Linked DNA regions of Ovis aries. The protein of the gene in region 2 interacts with the protein of the main gene of each other region in a biochemical or structural test. Links are inferred from orthologs where the notes say so. Each region holds a gene or a part of one and is shown on either strand. Other genes may lie near its edges. The genes, in order: CNTNAP4 and APBA1.

Region 1 (7,332 bases), on a different chromosome or scaffold from region 2:
GAAGTCATGCCAGGTACTGAAGATGGTCTATATTATAATTATCAAAATACTAAAAAATCAACCATACCAAAAAAAAAGTGATGTTAAAGTAGACTTTTTATTTTTTTGCTCCAAATGGTACTTCTCTTTTAAAATAAACCCTCCATTATCTTAAGAGATGTTTCCCAATATATTTACACAATTGCAGTGCCCTTAGCTTACTTGGCTCATGTATTTTCCTCACCTCTGGGCTCTGAAGTGAGTTTTACATAAAGGATTCCTGACACATTGAGATTGTTCTCAAGATCTTCATCAGGGTAAGTGGATGTCCGATCTTGGCTGACTACAGACTTTATTTACATCTGGCCTAAATCCCACCACAGTGATCCAAGAGCACTTCCTGGCTCTGCGGCCTCGGTAGAGGGAAATGATCTTTAATGGCCATCAATCACCTCCAATATACAAAAGCTCAGGATGAGTGCAAATAATCATCCAGTTGTTACTCAAATAAATCATAAATCTATCCTAACATATTAAAGTATTCAGACTTAGAATCAAGAGCTTCACTTTATAGTGAATTCTGAATATGAAAACCAAATGTAATGTACTTTATTGAATATAGGAGTATCTGAATTCAGCTGCTTTGGCAAAGAGCTTGATCTTCCCATCCAGCTCCCAACTACTAATGACTATTATGGCCAAAGTTACTGCATCCTCAAATATTTTAAGTGTAGTAGAAAGTTAGAGATGGTTTTCATGTCAGATTGATATGATTTCTAAAATTTACCCTCCTTTCAACATCTGCTAGTCATACTGATTAATAGTGACAATGATCCAAAATTATTCCCATGATTCTTCCTAAGTGTAAGGAATGAGTATGGAAAACAGGGGAAGAATGCCCTTTATTTTTGGGGTCCATCTGAAATGGCAGTGGATGGTCATATCCTTGAGTGTTTGTTTGAAAATGTAGGCAAATGACAACTCTAAAATGTTTATTTTCTGCTCCCTTAAAAGAAATATTCAGATATTATAAAATGATATAAGTATTTTACTATTTTTCTTAGCTGCACCACGCAGCTTTCAAGATCTCAGGTCCCTGGCAGAGACTGAACCCAGGGCCATGGAGGTGAAAGATCCGAGTCCCAGCCACTGGGCCACCGGGGGGGGGGGGGGGGTCCCACGGTATGCTAACTTACTTTACTTTGGAGGGTAATTTGGAGCTATTTTATCCCAAGCAACATAGGGCATACTACACTCAATTAGATACATAGGAACATCGTGTATTATGATTATCTGTATGCCCACTAACCATAAATTCTGTGTGGGCAGATGCAACGTCTGCCTTGCTGAGTGGCACTCCCTGTGTTCACAGCAGGTGATACAGTGTATGTGCTAAATAAATAAGGGAACCAAATGGGCTTATAAAAATGAAAACCACAGTTGGTTAGCATGAGGCCAGGAGAATGTGCCTTGCAGACCTCTAACTGGGTGAGAGGAATCGACTGAGGGCCCCAGGTGCTGGGCTCTGAAACTCATCCTCAGGCTTGGGCCAGGGCCTTGCTTCCCACGGCTGTTCCCAGGCAAGAGCTGTCCACAGCAGGGACTCTAAGGCACACCCACCCTCTGGTGACACGAGGCTCCTCTGGTGGCCAAAAGACTTGGCTCCCCACAAAGCTGAAGTCAAGGATGCTTCTAACTGTCCCTCCCTCTCTCCTTCACTGGAAGGCAGGCTTGCATGCAGTCTTGATAGGCTCTCTCCTCACGTTCTCTTTCATAAGTGTCCCCTTGATAAAACCCTCAAGTGGCTAATTTTGTCTTGACAAAATTAAAATTAAAACAGCTTCTTGGAGGGACTGAGACTAACATAGAAACCTCAAGATTGACCAACTCTCTGGAAAACGAATAGCTCCATTTTAGCGTCTATTTTTACCATAAATTAACGTAGCATGTTAAAATGTAATAATATACTACATAACATTTTGTTATAAATGCATGCATATACCATACCATATGACCATAAATTATTAGTCTCCTTTGAATTACACATGATTTGAATGCAATGTTAGTCTTTGGTCAAGATTCACACCTAAGGATCAATAAATTCATACTTCCATTTTTAGGAGAATGAATTGATTCAGCCTCTAAAGTTCACTGCTGAACTTGGACTTTAATCTTGTTTTTCAGCATGAGTGATGTGAGTTTTAATAATACGCTATTCTTGAGTAAAAACATTAACATCTTTAATTCCTTACTAATCTACAATATTCATTATAAAAAGGGAAACAAGTATCTATATGATGAATGTTATTATTCTACTGTTTGATTAATACAATCTTCCTCATAGAATGCAGGTCAGTTTCCCAATTGTTTTATAATAAATTTAACATATTTATATTCACACAAAGTATTTTCATCAGCAAATCTGGCATTAAGTTTGAAGATGCTATTTCTTCAAAAATATGGTTTATCAACATTAATCATAGTTGTCAGAATTTTTAATCTTTTAATTTTACATTTTTTATAAAATGCCTCAACTCAGGCCCTGCTAGACTGAGGAACTCTTGAAATTGAAATTTACTATAATTATTTGATATTTTTTATTACTGTAGTTCAATTTATGTGATTTATGCTATGAAACCACTTGGGATTTTCCAGTTAAGCTTCCAGATAGCTAAGTAGTAGTTTACACATATATTTCATGTCCATCCTAGCATACTAGAAGAACAATTCAATTCAATTTCCTTTATTTGTTTGGAGAACAAGAGCATACAACATTGGCACTTCTCACAATGCTAGAAAGACTATAAATATTTGTAAACTTAAGTATTAACCTTCTCAGAGCCAATATCTTGATCATTCACCCACAGGTTTAATCAAGCATTCTCAAGATTCTAACATTACGTACAGGGAATGTAAGAAATGATATATCAAGGTACAAGTACCGGAAAAGGTCAAAAAATAAAATATTTCATTTACTATCTTTGACAAAATATTCCAGGTTAATGTCAAATATCAAACTAGGAATGAAAACCAGACTACAGGAAGTCCTCCAACCTCACATTTATATCTAAAAAGAAAATCTCTTAAAATTTATTGTCCCTCTTTCCATTTAGTCTTTGTTGGCAAGTATTTAAAAAGCACACGTTTTGATTCTAAAATGGCAAGAGTATGTTTCTATTTCCATGCTATTATCAGAGATAACTGGTGGATAGAAATAAGAATTATAAGGCATTTAGACAGACACTGGGTTATATTATAAGTCAGGAGGAGTGGCTGGCCACTGCCTTCAACAAAGCAGAAAGGATCCAGGCCACAACCTGAAGCATATTCACTAACCAGAAGAATGGCAGTTGCTTTCTCCTCCATATTCTTCTGACCTAATCCTAGCGCTATCATTAGATTACAGTTTATATGTTTTGCAGCTGATTGATATATGGTGTGTTATTTATACCTTTATTATTTGATATTTTGGAAGTGTGAGAGTGAGACCATGTTTCATTATGCTGGACTGACATAGGGCGGACACCAGCATGGTGTTACTATTCAAGGAGGATGCTTGCTCATCTTACAAAATGTCCCAGCTCACAATTACACACACTGAGAAAGTACAGTTTCTGCCTTGATTATCATTCACTTCACAACTGAAATAAGGCAAGCGGTTTCTTTTGGCATGATGAGTTTGTGTGGTGTGTGTGTGTGTGTGTGTGTGTGCATCTGGAACATGACTCTCCTGGTCCATGTTCATGCATCATGATTAGGCAAAAGGCCATTCCTCGTACTTACCTATAATCCTGCCCAGTACAAGGGATCTGACTGCACTGAGCTCTGTGCCTGACGCCAGGTGGACCTGCCTCCTCACGCTCTCATCAAGCTACAGAATTGTTACATGAGAGGCAAATATCCACACAGATGGTGTCATTGAGAAGAGGACAGGAGCAAAGGAAGACAAAAGAAAATGATAAAATAGGGAATTGTTAATATGGCCCCAAAGATTAGAAAAACAGAGTTTAAAGTCAGTCATTTATATAGGCGAATGTTATTTTCTAAATTACTTCTATGTACCCTCAGATACCAGTGTACGCTACCTTCTATCCCCTTATATAACTTTATTTTTCTCCACTGTATAAGAAATTCAAATGGAGAAAACCCACAAAAAGATACAAGTTATCTTCACCTTGATATTTTTACGTAGCTGGGTATTTTCACTTGAGTCATTTAGCTAAGAAAGTTTCCTCTATCTAGAGGGCTGAAACATATGTGCTTTTCTTCAAAAGCTGGTAGAGTGAATAATTCAACTTTCTCTGCTATAATTCACATCGTTTTAAAATTCATTCTGAAATTGTGATCATTAATTTCTGTGCAAGAAATATGGCTGCACGTACAGCCATCTGAAGTAAACTGGTTTCATTAGAGTAGCAACAGTTCTGCCAATAGTAGATTACGCTCAACTAAAAAGCACTTCCCACCTGAGCAAAGTAAAACAAATAGGAAAGTTTGGCAATTTTAAGTATCAAATACTATTAATCTCTTAAACAGAATCCTATTGCTACAAAAACTGAACACATTTGATGGTCTATGATCTGTGTAAGGGCGGCACTGGAAGAATGACTTTATTTAATCTATGCATTATCCAGCTTCTGCTGCAGGTCCGTCATGCTGGGGAGTTTACTTGTAACCACTGCTTCTGTCGTATTTTCTCTATTACCTCCACAAAGACCACTGCTTCTTCTCTGTTAATCTTTACGTGGTGAAGCTCCCCATCGGCCATGTTTTTGAAATCAAAGTTAACAACATCGGGTTCTTGATATCTATTTAGCTTGTACCTGATCTGCAAACTTCCTAAAGTTAGAGGGGAAAAGTTATAGTTTAGTTAAAATTGTATTTTTTTAAACTCCTTTAAAAAACCCTCAGAGTCCTTTTTTGTTACTTACCAGTTCCTGGGAAAGAATTCACAACAGTTTATTTGGCTGTACACTTTCATCATAATTCCTAGAAGTCAGTTTCCATGTGAAATTGCACTATTTTCCCAAAATTAAGAGCAAATATGCTGCAAATAAGCAGGCTCTTTCTTGCAAATATTTGATTTGTCAAATATGTAATTAAGCATATGTAAATCTTTGTACTAGCCTCTGACTTAAAATAATAAGGTTTAATATATTATGAAATGTCAAACTACTGTGGAATATTGCAGTAACTTTCTGTTTCTGTAATTCATCTTTCAAAAATTATGCCTACCATTCCTGAAATGCAACTGATGAATGGAATTATTATTATCAAATACAGTTTTACTAAAGATAAGGAATTTTTTTCAAGTGGTCATGGTTATAGAGTTTGGAATGAAATTAGGGTGAGATGAATAGTTTTACCAAACTTACTGTTAGAGTTAATACTACTCATGTTTTAATTGCCTGCAAAGATGTCAGTAAATCTACTTCACAGGATATCTTTCAGTCTAACAAATATATGTAGAAAAACTTCAAGCTCAAAACATATACTGTGAGGAGGAATATACTTATTGAACAATATTTTTTAAAATTTGGTGTTCAGTGCCCTTGGGCCATATTTGATTTAGTTGAAATGATATAGCTGCATGTTTGCATGTCCCTTTGTTTTCCTCATTTTAGTCATAAAATTTTTTATCTCTAACCCAGATAAAGGGACGAGAACAACAATAGTAAGTGGGTGTCTGTAGCACACACGTCCCAAACCACACACCATTATCCTGCACTGGCGCATTAGCATTACCCACGACCACCGTATTGCCGAAAATCAGAACCAAGGGGTTATTTTATGGACAGCTTCTTATACATAATGCTAATTGGCTAACATTCGCTCAAAACTTCTCTACTTTGATTTGAAGGAAATATTTGTTATGTACAAACAGGCATTTTATTTCAAAATGAACCAAAAATTGGTACTAACAAACACACGGAACAGTAAAGATTTTCTAGCAATAATAAAATTTTATAACAATAATTTAAAATATATTTATATATTTATGTAAATATATTTATATATTTAAATATATAATATATAAAATTTGTATATTTATATAAAATATTTATAATAAATATTTTATCTACGTAAATTAAAAATTCACACAGAATATGTTACATTACCAAAGCTATAAGGCTATAAAGACATTTGAAGTATTTTAAATAATCCTTTTAAATTTACAGGACAGCACTGAAAAAACAAAACTGAATAAATCAAACAGGCACATTTATTTTTTTCCTGTTTGTAGTTCGAGAAGCAAGAACATGAGAAATATCCATATTATTATGGATCTAATGCTCTGATACTATTTTCTCTCATTTGAACAGCACTCACCATTTTTGGCGATGATAACTGAAAGGTACTCTTTATAAAAGGAACTCAGATAGAGCAGCAGGCTTGGCGTCCGTGTTGTGCGGAAGCTAAACTTGATCGTTTCCCTGCTCAGCCTGGTGTCACCATGAAACGAAGCCGCGTGGGAGCTGGAATTCTTACTTAAGGAGTAATTTTCTTGAAAATTGTAAATCACGGATGAGCCAGATCCAAAATAGGCAGAAATCTCTGAAATTATAAGCACATTTTATGTTAAAAAAATTGAAGACCAAGGATTGTTCAGTGGTCTCAGTTATGATACTTTTCAAATTAAAAAAAATCCAAATTTTAAAAAATCATTTTACTTACATAAATGATTTTAATACTTAGGATTTATTCATTTAGGATTAGTATTTATTTAGGATTAATATCCTAAATTCATACACACACACACATACACCCAAATATAGTTATATAAAAATGAAGAGGATGATGGAAAGGGCAACTAGTTTGGGATTCCCGAACTCTTCCCTTCCTCACTATACAGGGCGGTGGTTGAATGCGAACTGCAGGTGCTGCGCAAGGATGCACATCTCCACTCAGCGCTTTAGGCGTTTTGTCTGTTTGTTTGATTTTTACTATCTATAGTATTCGTTTTAAATCCTATATACTATGTGGGTACAGAATAACATTTCTGGTTACACTTTGCAAGATGACCTGGAAATCGTTTAGATTCAGAAAATGAAGACATGCTCTTGTAAAGACACGGTCTTAGTTCTAACTTTAAACAGGAGAATTATAGAAAGGCAGAAGCAGTGGTTGATTACCCAAGGTTGATTTTAAACGATGTTATTCCTGATAGAAAGTAGATGATTTGAAGAGTTCATTTTGGCCAACTTTCCTTTAAACAGTCCCTTTGTTTTCATTGCAAGGCAGGGATCGCTTCAGTTTGAGGCCAATTTTCGTTAGTTTCCTTCAGGTAAAGGTTCAGTAGTCCAGAAACACTTAAGTAAAGCAACTGAATTAAATTGGATGACAATTTTCTAT
Region 2 (7,332 bases):
ATTCCCCTGAAGCTGGGGAAGGGGTAATAAGGACCATACACCCAGTGAAAGGAAAGCGTCAGTGTATCAAAACTACCTTAGTTTAACATATTTTCCCCCAAATAACTGTTTTTTGGTCACTTTCTTTACATGACTCAGTGTATGGACATGCACAGAAATCGCATTGTCTGTGGATCAATCAGTGCTCTATAAGACAGCACTATTTCCTGGTCAGACATGATTTTAACCCAGAATAAACTAAAATCTCTTTTTGATACATATATCAATAGATTTTCATCAGGCTAGAAAAGAAAGTGCCATTTTCACTGAAAGTGGGGTTTTGGTCAGTTCTGCACATGGTTATTATGAATTGCTGGCCTGCTCATGTGTTTTGGATGGTGGTCACTGCATCTCTAACTACACACAGCTGACACACTGCAGGGTAACAGTACCCAGGGAAGTATCTGGCATGTTTCGCATCCCTCCATTATGAACGCTTGCTTTGTTCTCAGCAGACTTAGATTTCAACGTGAGTGTGGTTTTTATCTGTTGTCTTTTCCAGAGAGTCCTTATAAGGAAAACTTGGATAGACTGTTCTTGTCCATGCCTTGAATGGAATTGAATATTTGTTTTGTATATTTCATGCACCACTGGAGGCATGAAACCTGGGCACTGTCAGCACCAATATTTGCCTCTTCTGTGCATTAACCATCCATTTGGTCTGAACAGAAATACGTACTTAGAAAACTTTCCTATACCTTGTCCACAGTCACCATTCTCAGGGGTTAAATAAGAGGAAGCCACAATTTTTCAAAGAAGAATTGGTCTAATTTGTGTGAAGTGGGATTCTTGTCAAGGAGGAGAGCAGTAAGGACTGATCATCTCTGCTAAACCATAATTGTTTTCTAGTGAGTGTTAGTCAGTCAGGGATGGATCCATCAAAGAAGGGGGTAAAGATGGTAACTACTGCTTTAAGATGAACTTGGCAGCTCCAAAATGGCCTCCTTTACTACTGGGGCTATTATAGTGCTTGAAGGAAATTGCGATCCTTACGGTGGGCGTTGAGTAGAATATAATGCATCCTAATATTAGAGAGTCCATTAGATGTCCCTGGTCCTCCTGGAGCTTTCTGCTCTTACATTAAAGAGTTCATTTCCCAATTTTGTCCTTTTGTAAAATGAGCCCCCCAAAAGGACACTAAGGAAAGTTTACACACATTGAACCCATTTACCACAACTGCATTAAAATCATGGGGATCCTGCCTGTTTTTGTTGCTCTTTCCATCCCCTGCAATTATTCCCATACACTGTATGCAGATTATGCTATAAAGCTATTTTGGATAAAAAGAAACCAAAATACTAAATTTACCAAATACCAAATTTGAGAGTGGTTGAAACCAAAGCCACCTCTGCAGTCACAAGTCCCGCTGGAAACAAGGAAAGAGACTTACCCGTGTTTTAAAGAAGTTAGCATGTTATAAAGTGTCAGCTATAATGCTAACTTACAGAATCGAAGAATTTTAGATCCAGGGTGTATGAGGGAGCGACTATTAGAAATTAGAATATTAGTGTTTTAAGTGCAGTCGTCAGAACTCTGGCCTCTAGGGAAAAGGTGTTTCCCAGTCAGACAAGTTGGGTAACCCCTGCACCCTGCATCTTCCTCTCCTTGCATATTCACAAGGAAAGTCAACTTAAGTCAGCATCTCCCAAACTACTTGAGCAGGGAGCCTTTTTACTCTGCATAGTAGCTGTTAACATCCTGCCGCAGGAAATGAGTCCAGTCTCATGGTGGAGATTCAGAAAATTAAACCACTTAACGGTAGTTGACAGAGCCAGTAATGCCAGGATGAGAACCCACTGATGGCTGAAGCCTCCCTCAGAATGGCTGCATATTTGTACTGACAGCAATGGATTCAAAACATCCCAAGGCTTTTTTCCTCCTTGAAATACTCCTTCTCCCTGGCCCCTGCAGCATGCAGGATCCTAGATCCCCCACCAGGGATTGAATCCTTTCCCCCTGCAGTGAAAGCACGGAGTCCTAACCACGGGATCACCAGGAAAGTCCTTTTTTCCCTTGAAATTTATTTTAAAAAATAGTTTCTAAAGTATCAAGGATCCTAGTTTAATTTAGAGAGATTTATCCCTTAGCAGATGGAAAATGTGTCAATTGGCTCATTCAATTTGGTAGTACTCTCTATTCATATGCATCAGAAACAGAACCTGAATAGTAAGCGCGGTGGGGAACTTAAAGGCTCAGAAGGCTGTCGGTCTGAGGGGTGGGGAAGAGAGAAAGCCAGTAAGCAATGAAACAAGGAGACATGTAATTACAAATTACAACACGTGCTACGAAGATGATGAACTATGTGCTGTCAGCTTGAGCCTAAATTTGCAATCACTTTTTAATTGACCGCGATTCAGACGAGATCAATAACAGCTGTTTTTATGATTATCTTGGTACTCGGCTTCTGCCTACAGTCTGAATCACGTAATAGCCCCTCCCCCTTCTTGTTTTTCCAGCCGGGTGGAGCAAAATGAGAGCGCAGTGAGCCGGCCCAGCCTCTCTCCCAGCCGTCCCCGACGCCCACCATGAACCACTTGGAGGGGGCCGCGGAGGTGGAGGTGACGGACGAGGCGGCAGGCGGGGAGGTGAACGAGTCGGTGGAGGCCGACCTGGAGCACCCCGAAGTGGAGGAGGAGCAGCAGCAGCAGCACTATGCGGGTCGCCCCCGGCGCCGGCGCGCCGTCGAAGACCCTCGCGCCCAGCCTGGGCAGCAGCAGCAGCAGGAAGAAGAGGAGCGTGGGGAGTGCCTGGCGCGCTCGGCCAGCACGGAGAGCGGCTTCCACAACCACACGGACACGGCCGAGGGCGACGTGATCGCCGCGGCCCGCGACGGCTACGACGCCGAGCGCGCGCAGGACCCCGACGACGAGAGCGCGTACGCTGTGCAGTACCGGCCCGAGGCCGAGGAGTACACTGAACAGGCGGAGGCCGAGCACGCCGAGGCCACGCACCGACGCGCGCTGCCCAACCACCTGCACTTCCACTCGCTGGAGCACGAGGAGGCCATGAACGCGGCCTACTCGGGCTACGTCTACACGCACCGGCTTTTCCACCGCGGCGAGGACGAACCCTACGCCGAGCCCTACGCCGACTACGGGGGCCTCCAGGAGCACGTGTACGAGGAGATTGGGGACGCGCCCGAGCTGGACGCGCGCGACGGTCTGCGGCTGTACGAGCAGGAGCGCGACGAGGCGGCCGCCTACCGCCAGGAGGCTCTGGGCGCGCGGCTGCACCACTATGACGAGCGCTCCGACGGCGAGTCCGACAGCCCGGAGAAGGAGGCCGAGTTCGCGCCCTACCCGCGCATGGACAGCTATGAGCAGGAGGAGGACATCGACCAGATCGTGGCCGAGGTCAAGCAGAGCATGAGTTCGCAGAGCCTCGACAAGGCGGCCGAGGACATGCCCGAGGCGGAGCAGGACCTGGAGCGCGCCCCCACCCCGGGCGGGGGCCGCCCCGACAGCCCCGGGCTGCAAGCGCCGGCGGGGCAGCAGCGGGCCCCCGGCGGCGAGGCGGTGCAGCGATACAGCAAGGAGAAGAGGGATGCTATCTCGTTGGCCATCAAGGACATCAAGGAGGCCATCGAGGAGGTGAAAACCAGGACCATCCGTTCGCCTTACACCCCCGACGAGCCCAAAGAGCCCATCTGGGTCATGCGCCAGGACATTAGTCCCACCAGGGATTGTGACGACCAGAGGCCGGTGGATGGCGATGTAAGTGTGTGCGGGTTCGGGCTCGCTCAGCTCTACGCGCGGCCAGGTGGGGAGACGGGCGCTGGGTGGCATCATTTGTCATTAGAAATGACTTGATGACGGAAATGATCTCTGGGCATGCTCAGAAAGAGCTTGTGCTTAAGAGCCGGTGAGCGAAAACCAGGTGCGAAGGAGTTAAGTGCTGAGAGGTTGCGATAAATCAATGGTTCTCAAACTGTTACTGGAGCACTTGTTCAGAAATTGATTTCCAGACGCACCTCTTTCCATCACCTAGTTTCACACTTAGATTTGGGGCAGGGCCTGCGAATATTTATTTCTAACGTTAAATAAAAAACAAGTCTGGATTGAGGAAGGAGAGACTTCATTGGGAAGGTACTGTTGTAACAAGAACTCTTGCAGTAGCAGAACTGTGGGATCTGCAAGGGTTTCTGCTGCTGCTGAGTCGCTTCAGTCGTGTCCGACTCTGTGCGACCCCATAGATGGCCCCCTACCAGGCTCCTCTGTCCCTGGGATTCTCCAGGCAAAAACACTGGAGTGGGTTGCCATTTCCTTGTCCAATGCATGAAAGTGAAAAGTGAAAGTGAAGTCGCTCAGTCGTGTCCGACTCTTTGCGACCTCATGGACTGCAGCCTAGGGTTAGGCAGAAGAGGATTCTTTCGTAGGTAGGAGTAAGCAAGGCCTGAAAGGACAAGATGTGAGGAAGTGGGATGAAGCATGGCTTGAAGTACTGCCCTTGATAGTGTTTTAATCTGAGAACAGCATTGTCCCAGGAGGGTTTGGTGAGGAGGGGCGGTAAACTGGCAAAAGTTCAGGTACCTGGAAGAAGGTGAGAAGCTTAATCAAAGGTTGGTTAATAAGCATTCTGTTTTGACTAATCAGTTCAGCTAATCATTTCTCAGGCAGAGAATGGGAATTTGAGGGGTCTGTGTCTGGCCTTGTCATAGGTAAACAAAGGGGCACCTGTGAGTTACTCAAGTCTTACCAGAAAGAGGTTCTTTGCATAAGGCATATTCACAAATGAAATGGGAGGATAGGGGTCTTTAACCTTTGCTGTTTTCTGGGATCTCAGGGCTCACGTTAAGTTCAGCATTGTCACTTATAAGTTGGTAGGTGATGCTGATGGCTGCTGGTCCCAGGACCACAATTTGAGAACCACTGTCTTAAATCAACCCCTTAAAGGTTTAGGATGAATAGTGGCCTTTTTAGAGGAAATCAAGGAGATTCTTCTGGGCCCTTTCCAGCCAAAGGATGTCTACAGTTTGTTTCCTTTTTTTTTTCCCCTTCTTTGTGACTTAGTTTTCATTTCTGGTGGTACCAGAAGGAGCTTCTCACGTCACGAAAGACATGCTTTTGAACTGAAATTACTTTCTTGTGAAGAGCTACGGAAAGCTGTTGCTGCCTCATCGGCCTTTCACTTTCCATTTTTGAAATAACCAAGAAATTTGATAACTCGGCAAGCTTGGGTGTCACAGTCTACTCAGAAATAAATCAAGAAGGCTAACCTTTGCCCCCACTACCTGACTCTGAAGATTCTTTCTCCTCTGACTCTCAATTTTCCATTCTCTTGAATAATTTTTAAGCACTTTCATTTAAAATGGGAGCTTGGAGTAAAAGAAGGGTCAAGAGGTTAAATTTGGTTTCATTTAATTCTGTATTTTATGACTGCACCTATCTATTTCTGAGTATTTCTTTTGGAGTGAGAAACCATTATTGGAAGCTGTTTGTTCATTTTACTTTTAGGTAAAAGGCTGTGCAGGTCAGAGATGTCATTTGCCTCCTCTTTTAGTAACAGTCAACATTGGCTGTTAGCTGATTAAATCACAGGCACCTTTAAATCTTGGGCTTCCCTGGTGGCTCAGATGGTAAAGAATGTGCCTACCATGCATGAGAGCCAGGTTCGATTCCCAGATCAGGAATATCCCCACTCTGGTGTTCTTGCCTGGAGCATTCCATGGCCATAGGAGTCCATGGGGTTGCAAAGAGGCGGACACGACTGAGCAACTAACACTTAAGTGAAATTTCAACAAAGGCTGTTAGCTGATTCAGTCACCTTTAAGGCAGGGTTGGAACAGGCTGGAAAAGGATCTGCATCCTCCCCAGCCAGGGGGCGGCATTGGGTCAGTTCAGCCTCCTCAGTGTTTTCCCTCTGTAGTCCACGCTTCACATTCAGTTTAAAACAGGTGTGCTCCTATGCGGGATTCTGAGTGACCTCCAGTCTCTGCGGGTGTCTCCTGGCTTGGAGGGATGAAGTGCAGCTAGCATTTTTGCAGATGTAGTAGAAATGGAGCAGGCTTTTAAAAGCAGGGAGCTGGCAGGAGAACAGGTTCTAAGTCCTTTTAGAAACTTGGAAAGTTGTTGGGAAAAAGCCACAGGAGCATTCGGTACAGATGCTGGCCTCTTCCTTCAGCTTTCTCACCTATACCAGCTCCGTGAAATGACCTGCTGGTCCCTGCATGATGATGATGATGCACCACCTGGTCCCTGCAACCTGATGATGAACCCACCACATACCCTCCACTAGGGCTGGGGGCTTGCTTTTATCCATTTGAACTACTAAAACAACCCTCTTACAAGTTGTTTCATTCAGAAGGTAGAATTGATTTTAGAATAGTTGGTGATGCTTCAGAATCCTGTCTAGTCAGAAATTCAACTTAACACCAAGAAATTGGTGAATAGGGCTTTCTGAGTTATTAATAGTTAATACAAAGCAAACCCAAAACCCTGTGCCTTCAAGTAATCCACCAGTTGTCTTTAAACCGTCTGAATTTGTGGGTTCCATTTCATCTGTCATACCATAGGAAAGCCCTTCATTTGCTACCTCTTTGATATTATTATGGGGGAAATACAAGTGTATACATTCTGTTAGTTTCCACCTCAGCATCAAAAAATATTTACTGAGTGCTCATTTCATGTATGCTGTTGTAGAAAATGGAAAAGCACTATTAAAAGCACTGCGGCCTGAAGTCTTTCTGGAAGGTACTTGTTAAAAATGGCATTACTACCTTCCCTTTCCAAACCAGAATACCTTAGGTGGGGTCCAGTGATCTGTTCTTTGGGTTTGTTTTCCTTGCTTTGTTTTGTTTTGTACATTTTCCCTATGATTCTTGAGTATGTTTAAAAAAAAAAAAAAGAACCACTGATTTAAAAGACAAGTATCATGTGGGTAGTTTTTCCATGTAAGCCCCTGTGGATTAGAGACCTAGCTAAATCTCATATTAACATGGGTGTGGTTTCATGGAATGGTCTCTCCCACTCTGGTTATGGTCAACAGGCCTGGGGAAGGGGCGCTGGAATTCTTGTTACAGGAGCAGTGCATTCTCAAAATAGCATCATCAGAAACCGCAGTGGTGCAAATAGAAAGAAATAAAAACCACCTGTACTGCTACCTGCCAGAGATACCTGCTGATAGCTAAATTTGTTCTTCACACTACTTTTAATTCCCTCAGAACTTTAGCATTTTTCTCTTACTTGGAGGAAACTGACATCTGCTTGCTACTGAATCCTACAGAATGCGAAAATAGAACTGCTCATTAGCAAGGACTTACTGAATACAGACTAGATGCTCAGCAGTGAGTGGAAA

The links.
Region 1: the proteins of APBA1 (region 2) and CNTNAP4 form a complex in vitro, tested with the Homo sapiens proteins (2 studies listed by BioGRID and IntAct, with this or other methods). The link is inferred for Ovis aries from reciprocal best matches to the Homo sapiens genes APBA1 and CNTNAP4.

What each region holds. Positions count from the first base shown.
Region 1 is NC_056067.1:3,161,195-3,168,526, reverse strand, and holds part of CNTNAP4 (contactin-associated protein-like 4), read right to left. Parts: intron 6,535-7,332; coding exon 6,310-6,534; intron 4,819-6,309; coding exon 4,685-4,818; intron 3,851-4,684; coding exon 3,763-3,850; intron 1-3,762. UniProt on the Homo sapiens protein: Presynaptic protein involved in both dopaminergic synaptic transmission and GABAergic system, thereby participating in the structural maturation of inhibitory interneuron synapses.
Region 2 is NC_056055.1:67,168,879-67,176,210, forward strand, and holds part of APBA1 (amyloid-beta A4 precursor protein-binding family A member 1), read left to right. Parts: intron 1-2,495; 5' UTR 2,496-2,564; coding exon 2,565-3,752; intron 3,753-7,332. UniProt on the Homo sapiens protein: Putative function in synaptic vesicle exocytosis by binding to Munc18-1, an essential component of the synaptic vesicle exocytotic machinery. May modulate processing of the amyloid-beta precursor protein (APP) and hence formation of APP-beta.